3 linked regions of the Schizosaccharomyces pombe genome follow. The protein of the gene in region 1 binds, or shares a complex with, the protein of each later gene. Each region holds a gene or a part of one and is shown in the gene's direction. Other genes may lie near its edges.

What was found.
Region 2: mrpl39 (region 1) and mrpl31 share a complex: the UniProt entries of both Schizosaccharomyces pombe proteins name them as parts of the mitochondrial large ribosomal subunit.
Region 3: mrpl39 (region 1) and SPOM_SPCC777.17C share a complex: the UniProt entries of both Schizosaccharomyces pombe proteins name them as parts of the mitochondrial large ribosomal subunit.

Annotation. Positions count from the first base shown.
Region 1 is NC_003423.3:2,697,515-2,705,646, reverse strand, and holds mrpl39 (mitochondrial ribosomal protein subunit bL33m), read left to right. Parts: upstream 1-3,895; 5' UTR 3,896-4,397; coding exon 4,398-4,420; exon of another isoform or gene 4,421-4,471; coding exon 4,472-4,573; exon of another isoform or gene 4,574-4,604; intron 4,605-4,631; coding exon 4,632-4,674; 3' UTR 4,675-4,912; downstream 4,913-8,132. Other genes in the region: siderophore-Fe(3+) transporter Str1, read right to left, coding at 1-124; ATP-dependent RNA helicase Mak5, read left to right, coding at 5,288-5,443, 5,480-6,335, 6,387-6,675, 6,713-7,358; MARK/PAR-1 kinase Kin1, read right to left, coding at 7,804-8,132. UniProt on the Schizosaccharomyces pombe protein: Component of the mitochondrial ribosome (mitoribosome), a dedicated translation machinery responsible for the synthesis of mitochondrial genome-encoded proteins, including at least some of the essential transmembrane subunits of the mitochondrial respiratory chain.
Region 2 is NC_003421.2:887,008-892,286, forward strand, and holds mrpl31 (mitochondrial 54S ribosomal protein mL60), read left to right. Parts: upstream 1-1,578; 5' UTR 1,579-1,850; coding exon 1,851-2,198; 3' UTR 2,199-2,288; downstream 2,289-5,279. Other genes in the region: oca8 (cytochrome b5), read right to left, coding at 399-548, 635-726, 1,233-1,380; ubiquitin hydrolase Ubp1, read right to left, coding at 2,430-4,659, 4,885-5,204. UniProt on the Schizosaccharomyces pombe protein: Component of the mitochondrial ribosome (mitoribosome), a dedicated translation machinery responsible for the synthesis of mitochondrial genome-encoded proteins, including at least some of the essential transmembrane subunits of the mitochondrial respiratory chain.
Region 3 is NC_003421.2:1,615,155-1,621,023, reverse strand, and holds SPOM_SPCC777.17C (mitochondrial ribosomal protein subunit L9), read left to right. Parts: upstream 1-1,965; coding exon 1,966-2,055; exon of another isoform or gene 2,056-2,104; coding exon 2,105-2,180; exon of another isoform or gene 2,181-2,310; coding exon 2,311-2,450; 3' UTR 2,451-2,878; downstream 2,879-5,869. Other genes in the region: retromer complex subunit Vps35, read right to left, coding at 1-1,468; SPOM_SPCC777.12C (ER stress response thioredoxin family membrane disulfide oxidoreductase), read left to right, coding at 2,978-3,256, 3,377-3,814; protein Gta3, read right to left, coding at 3,975-4,361; NEDD8-conjugating enzyme Ubc12, read left to right, coding at 4,906-4,996, 5,063-5,158, 5,241-5,329, 5,441-5,588, 5,836-5,869. UniProt on the Schizosaccharomyces pombe protein: Component of the mitochondrial ribosome (mitoribosome), a dedicated translation machinery responsible for the synthesis of mitochondrial genome-encoded proteins, including at least some of the essential transmembrane subunits of the mitochondrial respiratory chain.

The DNA of each region.
Region 1 (8,132 bases):
ATGAAACTTCCTTTATGGAAGTTTCATCCTGAATGTTTTTTTCCAATTTATCCTCTTCGCTACTAGAATCGTTAAATCTTCTTCGCAATGTATCGAGAGTTGTGGAGAATGATTTCAGACGCATCTTGGGAAAACAATATAGAAATGCAGAAATTTAAAATAGCTAAATTAAAAAAGGATTAGGAGGGAATAGTATTGATTTCTTTTCTAGATCAGCCAGGGATGTTACAATGGAAATTTTAAAAGAAACCAAAGAGAATTAAGATGATGATTAGTATGGATCGGTTATCTTTAACAAAAGGGCAACCAAAAACAAAGGACGAAACAAACAGAAAAACGAAAAGAAAAGACGCTCGAAATTAAAAAGGTTCAAAATAGAAGACACAGCAGTATTGAACAATGACTGATACTTCAATTTCTTAACAATTTTCTCTTCAATAATGAGAGTGGACAAGGGGGAGGAAGAAAATAGTATACACTCGCACGCTTTTATAAAGCAAAGTTAACAAAGGCAGACCGATATATCAAAGAGAAATGGCACACACTTGCGACAATGTCAGCGGAAATATAATGAAAATCTTTTGAAAATAAAATTTAGTCGATATCTGATGATCTGATAAGTATCCAGATACGATCAATGTGGGCACGCCGCTTATTTTCCGCTAAAACGTAAAGTTAAAATAATTGTTGGTAAACTACTTTTTTTTTGGTGGAGGATATTTTTTTGAAATTTAATCAAAGGATTCAAGCACCAAATCACAGAATGCTGATCCAAGGAAAGAAGGAAGGAAAGGAAAACAAAGATTCAGAATAGGTTGAAGTCTATTTAAATTCTGTTCTTCTCTTTTCACTTTTCTTTCGATGAAAGCTATTAGACTTTGCCTTGGATGTTCAATCCACTTATGTTTGCTGAGTTTACTTAACTTCACTCAGATAAGATGGAGGTGAAGGCAACTTAACTAAGTAAGAATAGAGTGAAAAATAAGAATTATCTGATGGTCGGCAGCGTCTCATATTTAAATATTCTTCCTTGTACGGGACTGTCTTTATTGATGGAAAAATTGCGTAATTTTTGTTCAGCCAAGAACATTGACACGATCATACAGTGGGTCTGTCCAGTTTTCACAAGCTGCTAAGCTCCTGAAGTAACGTTATAACGTCGAATCTTTGATGAAAAGTGGAAGCGATCATCCCATTTTTCCCCGTTCTTCCGCTTGTCGTTCGTTCATGAAGGCAACCACTTGAGGAGATTTGGTTGACCCCACGTTTCCATTCAATATATCGGAAGTATCACCTAGTAGCATTTGTACCTCACACTACAACTTGAAATGCCACTAACCCTATATGTTTGAATTAATCCGACTTCGCAACTGCCTGTGTCTTGTGCCTCGCACATAGACTGATGTCAAGGATAAAAATTATCAGACGAAATTTTTATCTGATAGCTAGTTACTTTATTGAGCACGCTAACCTTACATACGTCAAATGTTATTTTACCTACGAAATGAAATAATATGTCTATTGCATAGAGAACATTGTATTCATGAAGAGTCTATACTATTCTTATTGTTCTTCTAATACTTAACTTACTTTTTGTGGCCCATGCACTATTTTTTCCAACTGTAACTATGACTGCAATTTTCGTGACTGTGCGCCGATCACACGGCGGGGGTACAGTGTAGTATAGGGTTATAGGATAAAACTGACAGTGTGTAACAAAAACAGAAATGTCACCAGGTTTTACTATAGCTACTTAGTAAGCCCAAGCCAAAGAAGCACGGGTACTGACCCGATACTTTCATCTCTTGATCGAGTGTATAAGGGAACACTTGGGGAGCAAAGACCCATTTTGGAACTTGTTGATTTCCTGATGATTCCTAATTTTTCTAATAATATGTTTCTTTATTAAACAGATCAACTATCGTACACACCCTGACGCTTGTCCTTGGATTACGGGAATACTCAGCTCAAAAAATAACAAAATAATGCGACGGAAGGAGAGCACAGTGTGAGATCTGATAGCACAAACTGGTAAAAGTCGGTTTATCAATTTGACCTGTACTACCCATCGCATGATCTTAAATTACGCCTTTTCATGCACAAAAATGGAAAATCTTTCAAGAAAGGAAAATTTACTCTAACAGACGATATTGTCTCACTATCCCATGTTTGTATTATGTGCAGACTAATTAACTTAACGTTCTTTTTAAACTACGTTATACTTGCTTATAGGAGACAACGTGCTTAACTGAAATGTTAACAGTTGCATACTTAGACTTATCTTGGATAGTGAGTTTGGCCCCTTTACCCTATATGCCAAAAGATGACCCAGGGGGTTAATATTAAGGCCTAAAAGGTAGGAGGAAGCAAGAAATGGTAAAATGGCACGTGCCAAGCCAAACAAGAAGAGATGATAGACACGCAGCTAAAGAACATAGCAAGCTTAAAGAACAAATAACAAAGCATTTTGGTTGGGAAATTGATCAGTTGAAGAAAGTTATTAAAGTTAATGATTATTATAGATTTACTAGTAAATACATAAAAACCAAGGAAAAGATAAGAAAATAAAATAAAATATAAATAATAATTAACGATAATTATATGTATATATAAGAGGATAATAATTTTATATATACACAGCAAATCCATCCTATATTTAACATAGTATTCCTCTATTAAGTGCGAATATTCTTTTACTTAATTCAGCCTTTGCTTATTTAATGCGAGTTGTCTCAGCCCTTAGTACAATGTCAAATCCTCTTTAAAAGATAGTTATTAAACCTTTTGTTATTCTAATGACAACTGTAACATATCCTTGACTTGTTTACTATCCCTGCTGTAATTTCCAACTCAATTTTTATTCTACATATATAAAGCATCAGTTAAAGATATTTTCGTTGCTTCTCTCCATCATTTTCACAACCAGGAAAAATGTTTATTTTAAAATTTCCCATACTATTGACCATGTAGAACCGTAATAACAATCGTAAACATTGCACTTAATGAGCTTTAAATACTCTCTCAATTCTTTCATTCAGTCTCCATATCCGAGGGATGTAGCCTTCTCCAGTCTATTCTATATCCGTCTTTGGGTGCGGCTATACTTGCGTTGTATAGATTTTCTCCGTATGCATCGTGATATGTCTCAATTTCGCGGATGAGATACGGACTTGGGATTTCGGGCAGATCGTCATACAATGTCACTAGCTTCCGCAATTCATGCGATTTGTTCATTTGCATTCTTTATTTGGCTAACCCTTGTAAAATTGGGAAAACACATTTTATATTCTCTTTGGACCCATAAACACTTAAAGTGACTTGTAACTCATCCATCCTAGTCTTGGTACAGCAAATGAATTAGGTTTGCTTACAACTTGAGGATCGTCTTATACTTTCAGTATTGCCAATAATTTACAGTTACAATGATACTTAAAGCTTGCGTTTGTTTAGAGCCGAATATATATATATATATACACGAAAGGCTTTTTAGAACCACCTCGTCATAAATGTTTCTTTACTAGGCTCGCTAATTTCCATCTGTGTTTTTTTTTCACGCTAGCAAACTATGCTATTGCAATTAGTTCATTCTTAACGTCCTAATTCATCTAGTACATGTCATTTTAACTAAAAGAATTTTTCCTGAAAGAAAATTGGTTCTTTCATTTGAATATCATTCTTTCCAAAAAAAATGTAGAAATACAAATAAGATTATAAATTGGCAAAGACGCGATTGGACTTTAATTAAATACCCATCTACAGCCAATAATTAAAAAACAATAATAATTGTAATAAAAAAAAAGAATTTTTCAAGAGTTGTTCATCACTTCATATTTTTTCTTCGAATGTTAATAGAACAGCAACTTCTATTTATAAGATTACTTATAGTTTGTTAATTATTCCTCTCTGTTAAATTGGCAGACATCAGGAGAAGAGACGCAGCAGACTCAATTTGTTATACTTTCCTTATTAACATTTTTTTATTTTTTATTTTATTTTATTTTTATTCAAAAATTCTTTCTAATTTTTTTATTCTTACTGTTCGTCTTTCGTTCTTAAGTGCCGTCATGCATGTTTCTCAATTAGAATTTCAAATCTAAATGCTTTTTTTCAAAACAAGTAATTCATTGATGAGCCTTTTATCTTTACTAATAGTTCTATAGTCTACCTAAAACAAAAAAATAACCTATTGAAAAGCCTCGATTGTACACAACCAAATTTAATAAAAATTGGATTGCAAAAAGGCTTTCTCATTACTCAAAACAATATCTTTGAATTGCAAACTTTCAATTTTACATTTCTGACTGCAAGTTATCCATCAAGTTAAAAGAGCTCGCCCACAAACCCTGGTGTAACTACAAAACCTTTAACTTACCGCTTGCACTGTACGTATATCCAGAATGGCTAAAAAGAATAAAGCTCGGTAAGACATACATGCTTAATTTAATGCGCATTTTTAACATTTATTTTTCAGTTTGCTTGTAAAATTATTGTCCACCGCTGGCACTGGATTTTTCTACGTTCGTTCACGTCCAAAAGCTGCTCCTAAGCTTGCTTTTATAAAATATGATCCCAAGTAAGTTATTATGGATTTTCTAAAGCCTCATTTAAGAAGCTAATGAATGAACCCATAGAATTCACAAAAGAGTACTTTTCGAAGAATCCAAAATGAAATAAAAACTTCTTCCATTTCAATGATAGTCTGAAAATGAAATGCTAAATTATGACCGATCAATCTACCTTTTTTCTTCAAAAACTTTATGGATGTGCATTAATTATGTATTAGCTTCCCAACCTACATCTTATACGACATAATTCTAAACAGCTGCGTGAACATAAAGACCCTTATATTATTCTGTCATATCTATAATTCCTATTTTTATTATTATTATTTAAGAGAAGGACTGAGATGTCAAATTTTCAAAGTAATAAGAATGTTCCTTTCACCTGTACCAATTGCTAGCCGAATTAGAACTATAGTAGTAACATCGTTTGTGTTTACTACTCTTGTAAGCACTGTAGCTCAGATCATTCGATTCTAAAATTCTCAAGCAATATTTTTAATACAAAATGGTTGTACTATTTAGAAATTATGCAAAACATGGCAAAGCATTGAATTGCTAAAACCAATCGTCGTTTAATGTCTTCGTAACATTTAATTATTTGTTTTCTATTAGCTTATACGATGCAATTATTTTTATTCCCTCGTTCCAATTCTTAGTGTAAATTTTTGTCTACCTACATTTTCTATGTGGAGCAAACTACTACACTTTTCAACGCTTTGATCACGATGCCAAAGAAAGCTGCATTGGACGAGCTTAAATGGAAGGAAGTCAAGCTTCCTGACCACCTAGACGACTTCGATGGGTTTATGGGCTTGGAAGAGATTGAAGGTGTGGATATCAAATATCAGCCAAAAGGTGCTATGAAAGAAGTAATTTATGAGGTATAATTGTTTATTATCTAATTTATTAACAAACAGTTACCAGAAGTTCATGAAAAAAAAGATAAAAAGCCGGAAAAGCGAAAAAAAGATCAAAAAGAAGCTAGTGAAAAAAAGAAAAAGGGAAAACGTACTTCCCCTACTATTGAAATGACTTCACTAGGATCAAAGGTGACTTCTAAAAACTATAATGAATTCTCTACATTAGAAGAAGAGGATGAACACAATTCTCATGGTGTGGACGTCTCTGCTTGGGCACACTTTTCACTTTCACCGGAAATGCTTGGCTCGTTATCTAAAGCTGGCTTTTCAAAACCGATGCCAATTCAATCATTGGTAATTCCTGAAGCTTCTATTGGATTTGATATCATTGGAAAGGCAGATACCGGTTCAGGAAAAACTTTAGCTTTTGGCATTCCCATTTTAGAGCATTGTCTTCGCAATGTAGATGCAAAATACGTACAGGCTCTAGTTGTTGCTCCTACCAGAGAACTTGCTCATCAAATTTGCCAACACTTTGAACTTATCAAGCCAAGTCCTAACATTCGTGTTATGTCTATAACCGGTGGATTAGCAGTACAGAAGCAGCAGAGGCTTCTTAACAAGCACCCTCACGTTGTGGTTGCAACTCCGGGTCGCTTGTGGTCTGTCATCAACGAGAACAACCTTACAGGAAACTTTAAGAAAATCAAGTGTTTGGTATTAGATGAAGCAGATCGTTTACTGCAAAAAAGTCATTTTGAAGAATTGAGCAAACTACTTGAAATTTTAGGAAATCCCATGCATACTCAGCGTCAGACTTTTATCTTTTCTGCAACTTTCGATGAGGGTTTACAGCAACGCCTTAAAAAGAATATGAAAGGCAATATAACTGAGAAATACAACAGCCCGATGGGTATGTTCAATTAGAAATATTTTACTTTCTCACTTACTAACGACTGCATAGAAAATATGTTGAAGGAGGTTCGTTTCTTTGGCAAACCCAAATTTTTGGATGCCAATCCTCAAAGTGCAGTGGCAAGCCGCGTATTAGAAGGGCTCATAGAGTGTGCTCCAGCTGAAAAAGACTTGTATCTTTATTATTTGATCATGCGTTATCCTGGAAAAACCATGGTTTTTGCCAATGGTATTGAGGATATTAAGAGAATCACTCCTTTTCTAAATGAGTTAAAAGTTCCATCCTATCCTCTACATGCTCAATTAGATCAGAAAAAAAGACTTCAATCTCTTGAAAAGTAAGTTATTTTTATTTATATGTTACTAACTAACAAGGTTCAAAAATAATCCTAAAGGAGTCCTTGTTTGCACTGATGTGGCCGCCCGTGGTATTGATATTCCTAGTGTTACGCACGTAATTCATTATCATGTTCCTCATACAGCTGATATGTATGTTCATAGAAGCGGTCGTACCGCTCGCGCTAACGAAGATGGCGTTTCAATTTTAATGTGTGGTCCTAAAGAACTGTCACAGCTGAAACGACTATGTTATCGGTTGAAAAAGAAAATCGAGACCTTTATTAATTTTCCTGTGGATATGTCAATATTGGACATTTTAAAAACGAGGGTCGTCTTAGCACATAAAATTGTAAATCTCACTAGAAAAGACGGAAGAGTGGGACGTGAGGAAGCTTGGTTAAAATCGATGGCTCAGGAATTGGGAGTTGAAAGTTCTGATGATGAGGATCCGGATTTGCCAAAAAAATCTGAATCTAGTAAGAATAAGAAACAGATAGCGCATCTTCGCTCAGAGCTTGCTCCCTTATTACACGAAAAAATAAGAACAGGATTTTCTGGTAGATACTTGACGAGCGGTCTTGTAAATATGGCTGAAAAATTAGCCAACGAAGAAGTTCATGATAATATTATCGGAATGGACTCAATTAGTGCTTTGGAAGTTCTGCAAAAAAGGAAGAAGTAAAAAAGGGTTTTTACTTAGCTACTTTTCATATAGCACGGGTTTTCATTTAGGTTTTTATACAATGGTTTTTTGGTATTTTATAGTTATGGGTTAATAATAATATTACTGCTAGATAAGTATCAACAAAAACGTCGTATTAGACTATATAAGTGAACGAATTACTATAAGATATATCATTAATTATAGTAGCCTTATGTATCTGGCTTAAACATAAGCGAACGAGGGTGCATTTACACGTTGACTTTACATGCCTCTGGCATCTGTTTGCTTTCACAGGCAAGAGCATTAGAGGTCTAGTTTCTCGTCTCTAAAAAAGCTCAACGTCTAATATAGTTCAACCTGAAGCGGTCTTAGTATTAAAAACCATAAACACTAATTAGGTGGTCATAACGTAAAATGAAGTGAAATAAATAATTTCAAAAAAGTATGCAGCTTTAATAGTCAATCACAATTTTAATTCGTTAAGAATACGACTAGCCAATGTCTTATATTGCCATGAGTTTCCACTAATTCGATGAAAAGAAACGCCACGAAGAGAGAGTATAGGGACTTTCACAATATATATTTCAAAGGCAAGGTTAGAGGCAGGCGACTCACCATTGTCATCTAATGGGACTGTGTCCGGCACCGATCCATAAGAATCAGTGGTAGAATTAGAGCCATAAGAAGGCTTACGTCGTGTATGAACAGAAGTCGATTTTGTAGGGGTTCGGATACCCTGAGGTTTATATAGACATGCATAACCACCCTTGATCTCTTTATACTCAATATCAA
Region 2 (5,279 bases), on another chromosome or scaffold:
AATAGAAGAAACTATAAAACTTTTTTTTATGAGAGAACAAACAACGAAAATACAAAAAATATAACACTAAGTATTATCAATTATACAGTTACGCAAAGCAAGCATAAGACCGTTGTGAATTAAATTTACGTCCAGACAAATCAAAGGTCTCTATTAATATTAATATGCCATTCACATTAAGAGCCAAACCAAAGCGTGTTAAAGGAATACATTGAATCCGTAAATATCCTAAGTACGAACAGGTAAAGAAAGCTAAAGTAGATATCTAACAACAACAAAAAACGAAACTTGCTAGCTCAAAATCACAAAACCATATTCAGCACATTTAAACGACCCAAAACGAAAGAAGGCCTTTAAATTTCTTTGAGCGCAAAAGTAAGACTGGGAATTTAAGCAGTCTATTTGAGGACATACTTGCGAAAAGCAAAGTAAGCAACAACCATCACAAGGACAAAGAGCCACATAGCAGGCTTAACTGGTTGAGAAGAATCATATCCACTTCCACCAGCGGCAGCACCAGTTGTGGGAAGCTGAGGGCCATCTTCAGTCTAAAATATGTTAGAGTGTCGAAGCAAATTTTTACAAAAATTTTAACGAGCCTATGGCGAACGAAGAGAAAAAATAAATGACATACTCTGAGCAAGTTTCCAATGTAAAATTTTTCGAGCAACTCCTGAGCATCCTCAGAGTGACCAACATCCTCGAAAGGACCGCTAGCATCACGACCTAAAACAAGTTAATAATCACAGAAACGAACAAAAAAAAGCCCCTAGCGATGGTAGAGAAAGGCAGAAACTTTGTATAGCCAATCCAAAAGCCGTATGTGAAGAATCGAAGCGATATCGTCAATCAATCTTTCCAAAATTATGTATTTCAGTGTATTCAGAGTACTGGAAATACAAAACATCGAGTAGAGAGCGATCAATCTTGGAACATATAGACTGTACTTAACAATTCACCTTCAATGACAATGTCGCATTAAACATCGTATTTATTCAGGATATCGCATCTATTTTTGTACGTTCCTACGGCAAAGATTCGTCCTGAATCTTTCAAATTAAAGAACATGTGTATATGCGACACCTAAACTCTCGTGAAATTCAAAGTTTTGTAACGCTAGTTGTCTGAAACTTCGATTTCTACGACTCCACACAATCGCGACCAATTTTTATGCATTACAACCAATCTTCCTCAAGACCTCCATTATCGCGTACCCCTAAAAATTTACTTACCGGCCAAATCAACAAGAACCTCTTCACCACCAGGGTGAGCGTCAAGGAACTTGGAAATATCATACACCTTGTCTTTTACAACAATGTACAAATCATCACGAGTGTTATGTTTTAACACTTCTTCAACAGTAATTGTCTTCTCTGCCATGATCAAGTTCTGCTTATTCTTCCTTAAAGGTGGTATTTAACGGTTATAACCCAGGAGCTAATTACTCTCGAGATGTTGGTTGCAAATGCCCTATCGCGATTTATCTAGCAGGTGGGAAGTAGAAATGAGCCGATTCTTACTGGCAGGTGGTCACGTGGATTCGAGTTGGAAGGTACACCCAAGGATATGAACTTACCCAAAACCTATATCATTCTTCAGTTAACCAACTCCACCATTTTGGAGGTGTAGTGTTTATATTTGAATGGCAATATAATATTTAAATCAATTTAGGACGCTAATCAAGTTAATTTTTGTTCACATCTTTGCTGTTTCGTTGGAGCCGTAAACTACTTTGTGACAAACCATCAACTACTCAGAATTTGTCTATCACCCAAAAACTTAACAAAAAATTTTTATTTGCTCTTTTTGATCCAACCTTCTTCCTCTCCTTTTGATTTTATACGAAAAATATGCTGGGTGCATTTAACTCGACTTTGGCTCGCTTTGGCGGTCTTGTTCATAAAGTACCTTGGAGATTATCCCAGCGAAGAAAATATCGTCACCGTCAACGACTTCGTGCCGTCGATGAGGTGGTAGATGTTTTGCGCACGGCGTTGCAAGAGAAAAATCAATCGTGCAAACGAATTGAAAGTTTCGTTGCTAACCATCAGCCTGAATCCCAAATGTCACCAAAGGATAAATACACTATGTTTACCAGGAAGACTCAAGGTGCCGGTCTCCAAGGCTTCCGCAAGGGTGTCCATAAATCACCAAAATGGACCCGTAGTACTAATCGTGTTAATCCCACTGGCTTTTAAAAACGTCTGGTTGCAAAAGTTTACTACTTTTTTTTTCATAATTTTAATGCTCTATGAATAATAAATGTAATGGATTATTTTAATAGCTTATTTTATTACTTTTTTATTGCAAAAACTCCCACCTCTTCCTCGTCTTCGTTCATATTCAATTTCCAGTTTCATACATATTCAAACAAACGACATTAGCCTTTAGTTAGAGTAAAGTTCATATCACCTCTATTATACGTCTCTTTAATTCTTTGCTCTGTAAAACAATACATAAGCAGACGATGTGACAATATCCTCCGGATCTATTTCACAAATAGCTGTATCATCAAACTTAAAGAATGTTTGGCTCGATGCATCTCTTGCATAGGCAGTATAATGACCATTACTCATAAACCCGTGATGATTGTCCACTGCATACAAATCGTAAAGCATCGATTTCTGTGACGATAGCCACTCATGATCTTTTATAAATGGACTCAAAAATTGCTTCAAATTGAGATCAAATACTGGATAAACTACTAAATCCCTTCGTTTACGTCTTCTCCGCAAATCTCCACCGTGGCCGCTGAATCGATTTAAATGAATGACTAGTATTTTTGGCAATCGCCAGATCTCCAGCCGTTTTGTTGCCGGTCGAAATGCCTTACACCCAGGACAATACCAGGAATCCTGTAAATCAAGCTGCTCTGGCTTGGAAAACTCCAGTAAACAATCTTCAAGGGTGATGGACTCCATATGGAACTGAATTTTTTCAAATATCCATTCGCAGTTATAAAATAACTTTTCATATTGTTGATCGTTCCATAGACACATAATTACAGTTTTGTCGTCAATAACGATTTCCTCTTCCTCCACTATTTCAAACCTTTTAACCTCAATTTCCTTTATGCATTCCCATTTCCCGGCCTTACTTTCCATCCGCTTCAGTCCAAGCTGAAGAGTTCCGATTGCTACGTCTATGCCTGCATAAACTCGATACAGTTCGACAATCTCTTTCACTAAATCATTTGTGAGTACATTTCGAGAACGGACGTTGAGTTGTAAAGGAAATCCAAACACATCGTTAGACTGGTATGATCCGGGCATTGCCGGTCGTTTACATCCATGGACGATAGGTATTGTTAATCCGTTTGCAGTACTTCCATAAAGTACAACATGATCCCATTTATGAATTTTTTTAGATATTTTGTCTTTATTTTTCAATACCTTGTACACCTTTCCCCGATAAATGTCACAAGCAGTAAGTTCCCCGCATTCGAGTCCCATCTTTTGAAGCTTTTCCGTAGCTTGAAACTTCATTTGGATTACCGTACTTTCCATGAGAAGCTCCAAATACAATTCCACAGGACTCTGTGTGCCAAATGGCGGGACGTACACTACCTTGTGTCGCCATTTTGCACTAGTAGGAAGTGGAAGAGTAAGATACATGAACGGATCAAACGCAGTTGATTTTTGATAGCATATGGAGCACTCTAAGGTGCTTTTATACATTCCTTGAAACAACTGAACAATTATGGAATCATTTCGTTTTGTATGAATATCCCAACATTGATTTGCAACTCTCTGAACATGTAATGGGTGTTCGTCAAATAAATCTGGCCTTTCAAAGTATGGTTTTATCTGAATTCGATTCAAATCTTCGTGTAACCCGTCTAAGAAAAAGGCGATGAATTCCTGAGAATCTTGCTGACGATATCCAGAAAAATAGGTATTAAACTCGCCAATTATAAATTTGAAAGAACTAGGTGACACCGAGTGCATATCAGCAGTATGATGGATCATCTTCAGTAGACTAGCATAAGACAAGGCAACTTTCCCCATCATTCCCAACGGATTGTTGTAATTAATATCCTTTTCATAAGAATCACTAAGAAAATATTTTGTAAGTTCGTGTGTATGTATCATACATTGAAGGGCAGAATTCATATAGCATGAATTACCCAAATTGTAAAGACCGCAGAGTCCGATTTCTTTATTTATTGTTAAATTTTGCTCTTTGGTTATAGAGTCAGATAACCACTCTCCGTTAGGATGTTGAAACTCGAGCAATAAGCTTCCATCGGCAATATCTATTTCGAAAATAGTCATGCAAACAGCATACTCGGAAAGCAAAGCAATCGCAGGTTGATCATTGAACTCCGACAAACTTACAAACCTAGAAGATAGATTACTTTTGTTTAGATACCATAAACGGAAAGAAGTACCATCAGATATTTGGAAAGCTTCCATCACTTGTTTGTACAAAGACCGAAGGGTATCACTTCGGGAAAAGCTAAACGCATAGGGTTCATCACTATGATATGGTTCATCAATTTGGTATAATGGTGAATAGCTCGTGTTTTCACCGTTTATTGGGTCGAATAAAACGTGCAAAGTAAAGTTTATAGGATAGATATCTACGAATGGCTTTTGCTCAGCAGCCAATCCTACCAAAAGAACTTTTCGCTCTATAGCTAGACCTTCTAATCCAAACCTATATTTGAGTTAGCTAATAACATAATGGGAATTGAAAAGAGGCCTCAAAATCCAAGGGAACCTATATATTTAGGCACCGTGGGAAGTAATGCAAACTACATAAATTAATGAAATATTCAAAACTAAGACACAATGCTTTCAAAACATATATGAATATGAGTTTTGAATTTAATTAATAATGCCTTTTACAAGTACTGTAGAGACCTTTAAAGAAAATTCATACCACTCAACAAGCATATGCCATAGCGAAGCAGAGACAATGCTATAATCAATAGATTCCTCCAAAGAATGTTTAAGCTCGTTTTTTTCATCCAGCAGCCTCCATTGAGTTATAGGACCAGGGTTGTCGCCTTCTCCATATATAAAGTCAACGTATCCTTCGAACCAGTCATAGTCAATTAAAAAGGCAGTTTTTTCTTTTTTCCATTTTTCTTTATCCTCTTTAATTAAATTTATCGAATCTTGGAACGGCAATGAAGCAGGTTGGTCGATCCAAATTTGGGAATATCGAGTGCTTGCGTTTTGAGTAGCAGTTGATGCCATTCTCAAAACATGGTCATTTATTCGTTATATTTTTGTTTCTTCAAGTTCCACTCTTATAAATTGCAAAAAATTGGG
Region 3 (5,869 bases), on another chromosome or scaffold:
CACTTAATGAGTGGCCTTTTTCAATTATCTTTTGAACAATCATTCTTGCAATATCGTAACGAAGGTTTGGATCTTGCGCATTAAATACAGGAAGGAAATTCTGTAGCTCAAGACAGTAAGAAAAGGAAGGGAAATATGTAAGAGGAAGCAATAAAATTGCGCAAAGACTTTTTTGTAATGGACGTTCATGAAGAGCGCTTCGTAAGGAGGGCTGGTTAATGATATGTTCGTTAATGTATTGAAAAACACGATCTGCATACTGGGGTTTATAAGGGTAACACCGCAAGAAAAAATTGAGGATGCTAGAAAGTATAGAAACAATACAATCTAGTGGAAGACCACTACGAGATTGAATAACTTCAACAACATGTGACCATAAAACCTCTTGAATAGCATATTCTGGAGGAATTACTTTATCTCCAGGGCATTCTTGCTCGTCTTTTTGCTGTACTTCCTCATTAATTTTTATGTCTCCTAATTTTTCGGTTACAGTCTCAGATTCATCTTCATTAGAAGAATCAGATTCATATTCACGTTGGACATAGTCCGTAAGGCGATTCAACATAGCGACCACAAGTTGGGTTACGTTTACGCTTGGAGAAAGCTTTATGACCGTACCGAAATATGTATCGAGGGTTTGAAGATGCATATTATCAGAAAACGCCTGACAAATTACTTCAACAAGATACTCTTGTGCAAGTGAGTCCCGACATTCAATAATTTGCTCGATTATGGCAGGAAGGACATGATCTCGGTAAGTGTCTATATCGAGGTTTAACTGAGATAATCGAACCAAATTCAGCCCAACAAGAACCTTTAGCTCATTCCTTTCTTGGGTACGTTTGGAAAATTCTTTAATTGGACCAAGATGTTGGATTCTAACCCACAATTTATTCATTTCCGTAAAGTTGATAACTAAAAATTTAACAGAATCGAGTACGGTTCCTTTGCGAGATGCATCTTCCTCATCTTCTGATCCCAAAGGTAATCCTTTTCTTGTTTGGGTAAGCAGATAATGGCGCAAAAAAAGACCTCTTAACGGATGCTGAACACCTCTACACATATCTAACAAATCATTCATAATTTCACGTACAAGGGCATTAGGCGTTTCCAAATAAGCGCTTCCAACGGTTATCATGAGATATAAACGAGGGACAATACTACCGGCATATTGAACAAGTTCATAAAGGTCCATTAGGTTGTGAGTACCGTTCAGATGCGTTTCCAGCAATGTGCCCCCAAGTAAACGCAAGCTTTCCATATTAAACATATACAGCTCATAGTATTGTTTTGGAGTAAGTGCAGAATTTCTCATTTCCACGAGACTAATACTGCAATTACGAAATGCATCCATCAATCGTCCTGTCTGCAAGTTTCTTTGCATCAGCCTACTAGACTGCTTGCAAATATTTAAGGACTCTTCCAAGCTCCTTGTAATTTCTTCGTTAGCAGTATTAATTCCGTTCATAGAGCCCTAAATATCCACTTCCAAGTGTTTCAATTTAACCAACGTAATTGTAATTTCAGTATAGTTTTACTAGCGGCCCAACTTTCGAACAGAAAAACAGGATGTTTGTTATTCTTTTTAATTCACTAATATTAGCAATGTTTTTTATAATGGGTTCGTTGAAATGTCTACAAATAAAGTTGGTGGTACTGGTTGAGATATATTGGTAGATCTTGAAGTATTGCGCGCAGCACAGCTTGGAATCGCGCTTCGCTCAATTTCAAATTGACCATTTTCATATCACAAATATCGCGCCTAAATAGTATATTATTTTGATAACAATTAAAAGAAACTATAAATCTAATCATCGGAAAGGTTCACACTACAAGATTCGTCTTAGACCTCTAAACTAACGGTTTTTGAATTCTACATTCAATTGAGAATTTATTTAAGCTGCTTTTCTTTTTATTTTGTAAAAACTTTCTTGACGGATTTCTTGGTGCACCCATTTAATTGAAATGAGTATTATGAAACCGACAACTCGATTTTTTCGCTTCAATTCCCTTGAACTAGCAGTCTCACCTTTTCAAAGAATTTATGGGCAACTGGTATGTCAAGCTTATAAAAAAAATCACCGTTACTTACACAGTTATTTAGAGGTTTCTTCGTAAACAGCCAAAACCGTTTTTGGTAAAACTGTTAAACAACGAAGTTTCAAAGCTAGGAAGGCAAGGTATGCTAAATTTTTCATAATTATAATGTTCTTCATTTCAAACCTATAATAGGGAGGTAGTGGTTACATCCTTTTATTATAAGAAATGCATTCTTTTAGCCGTCGTAGGAAACTACTAACTTTACAAAAGGTGATGTCGTCTCAGTGACAAGGGGATATTATCGAAATACACTTTTCCCCAAGAAGCAAGCGATTGCTGTTGATGCCTTAAAATCTATGAAAGCACATTTGTTACAAGGGTCCGAATTCTCGACGAAAACGAAGGAATAATAATACCTAAACTCTCACTTAGTTCAATCAACATAAAAAGAATTTATTGAGTTTATTAGTGGATTAATTAAGGCTTAGCTAGCTGCAATTTGAACAATTCTAGCTTTTCATTACGAGATATTGTTACATTACTAACAAGAATTACGAAGTATTCAGCATTGACTTTTTTCTATAAAAAAATATAAAAAATTTAATTAAAAGGCTTCACTAGAAGCGTAGTCTCTTTCTGAGTTTGAATATTATCGTTATTGTAATATTTTATCAGGGTTGATGCTTAGTGTTTCTCAATTACAATAACAAGCTTTGGATTTTCCTATAATAGTATAGTTAATATGAAATTTAAATCCTTGAATGGTAAACGTTTACTGCGTATTGTGCGGCCATCGTTTCTGCTCTATCAGCTCGTCTAGCATCTTCTTCTCACAGCTACCAACTATTTTGAGTTGGATCCAAAATCATCTCATAACTCGTGTTTATTATTGCTAAAGCAGCAGAGAAAATATTTTTCATTACCTTATTCAGCTTCAATGAAAATTAATTTGTTTTTTGTGTTTCTATTTGAACTTCTGCATTTCGTGGCAGCTTATAGTTGTGAAGGAGATGAATCAGCTGCCATTGAAGCTATGAATGTCTTACAGGTACCGTATGAAAAATACAACACAGACCCAGTTTGCGCTTTTGACAATTCCACCGTTGTCGAACTTTCAGATAAAACCTGGGATCATGTCATTGAATCTGGCAAATGGTTTGTGCAGTTGACTGCTGAAGGCTGTGCTAACTGTACTCTTGGAGAGCTACTTTTTAACGTAAGTAATGGACTGCATTTAATGTTGTCCAAATGCTCTTGTTATGAGATTGAATTTTGAGCCTCGGAAATAAATTAAACCATCTTTGGATTTAATTGAATCTGTACTAACTAATTTTAGGACCTTTCGCATGCTTTTCATGAAAAATATCCGGATGTCCACTTTGCCCGTGTTTACTTGAGCAGTAGCCTCGAACTTTCTGTACGCTTACTCATTTCTCGGATTCCTTCTTATTATTTCATCGATAATCAAAATTTCTACCGTGTTTCTCCTCAGGTTCTTCCCAAGAACAAGGCAATCGCCTTATATGAAAAAGACGGGTTCAAAAGTATGAAAAAAGAGCAAGGTTTTTTCTCTGTTAACGGGCCCTTGAAGTCCTTTTACTGGGTCTTTGGAAAGGCACTTGCACTTTACGGACACTTAAGTCAAAAATACACCCCTCTTGGAATGAATGTAGCTATTTTTGGGATCTCTGCCTACATAATGTATCGCTCTAGCAAAAAAGCGAAACAAAAACAAGCCGCTGCTGCTGCCGCCGCCGCTGCAAAAAAGAAATAAGCTATGTGGAAAATACTATTAGTTTTTGATAATATCAATTTTTTGAATAATTATACGAGAGTTTGTTACATGTTCTATATGTAAGGCACCGCTCTAGTAAAGGTTTATACCCTATTTGTTTCATTCCTTCCTTTTTTAACAGAACGTAGATTTTCCAACCTTATTGCTTGTTTGGAGATTCATTAGAGGAATCATCTTTTAGCTTAGAATAAACGGCAAAGTACTGCCCGTCTCTTTTCTTAGCATTCTGAAATACATTCCACGGCTCTTGATCGGGTAATGATGGTAGAGATTCCGCATTAATAGCATGATTCAAAGTACGAAATGGTTCCTTAATGAAGGATGTATCAAGTCTCTCAATTGCATGCATTTGAATGATTCCTTCGTTGAGTTTTAGAATTGTTCTTTCATTCTCTTCCTTAGAGTCTGCTTCACGAAGACCAACGAGCCTCAGCAAATGACCATACTCAGTTAAGCCAATTGGTTTGGGTGGATTTCCTTGGAGAATTCGTTTAAGTGAAACCTTTGAAGGTTTCAAAAATGGCATAGTGAAAAGGAAAATAGAGCTAATTACAAGAGAAAAATATAGTACAGGTTAAAAAAAAGATTCAATCTTAAACACTTTGTAAGTTTTTCAAATGCTTTGAAACAGCTGTCGAAGTTGTAGTCGGTTCCTACAATTTAACGACTAGGTTGTAAGTCTGGGTTTTTTTAGAATTAATAGTAAAGGAATATATTAAATCATTCGGTAAGTAAAGTCAATATAATCAGCTTCTCTAATTAGGAGAACTATTTTTCATTACTATGATAACCGTTTCCCATTCCCTAAATTTACGACATCCTGCGATGTCTGTATATAACTTTACATAGCAGTGTTCCAGTACGTAATATTGTTGAATGCTTGCGTAGAGTAACGACTTTATTAAAATTGGTTATTGCAATTGAATAAGGTAATATAAAATGCCACATTATTAGCACTTTAGGTGTCTACATGTTTCGCTATTTTTTAATGATGTATGAGAGTATTGTTTATACCCAAAATTGTAAGCGCATTTTCCATCCTTCTGCCTATTACAAGAATCGCGTAAATCATGAGAAAAATTTGGGAATTAAAAAAGAAAGAAGCTCAAAAAGAGAAAAATGCGTCAGGGATTAGTCCAGCACAAATCCGAATCCAAAAAGGTGCGACTCATCATGTTGATAACTTTTCGCGATTTACTCGAAACTAACCATTTTCGATGAATTTAGACGTTACAGATTTAGAAATCCCATCTACGATGTCTACAAGCTGGCCAGATCCTATAAAATTGAACGTGCTACATTTAGAAATCCGGCCTGACGAAGGTAAGTTTGTGATTCCGCATGAAAGAATATTTGGTGTAGACTTTTTGAGACTATTATTTTTTATTTTGATTAACATGAAAAGGGTATTACAAGGGTGGGAAATTTAAATTTCGAATCCAAATCGACGATAATTATCCTCATGATCCTCCTAAGGTTAAATGTCTAAACAAAGTATGTCAGTCATGCTCTAAATTAGAGTTGCAGCTTATGGTATATTTTTTGCATTTAAGAAAATAACCATTATAACATGTTTTGAACCCTTTCGTTCTGACCTACTGTTAGATCTATCACCCAAATATCGATATTGAGGGAAACGTATGCCTCAATATTCTGCGTCAGGATTGGAATCCAGTGTTGAATTTGAATTCTATTTTGGTTGGATTGCAATTTTTATTCTTGTCACCAAACGCAGAAGATCCACTCAACAAAGGTAGGTTAATTACAATTTTTTGGGGGGCAATGAACTATTTCTTGTTATTGCATTACAAGGAAATGATTATTCATCTCTTAACTATCATTTGATACTCATTTTTTCTACGATCCTTTATTATGGGATTTATAAGGTTCTTTACTGAGGACAATGATTATGATAAGCAATTTTAATATAAGAAATCTGGTTTGCTCCTTAACAAATTTTCTAGATTTATTTAACTATACTAACAAACGATATCTTTTAGAGGCGGCGGCTGATTTGCATAAAGACCCTCAAGG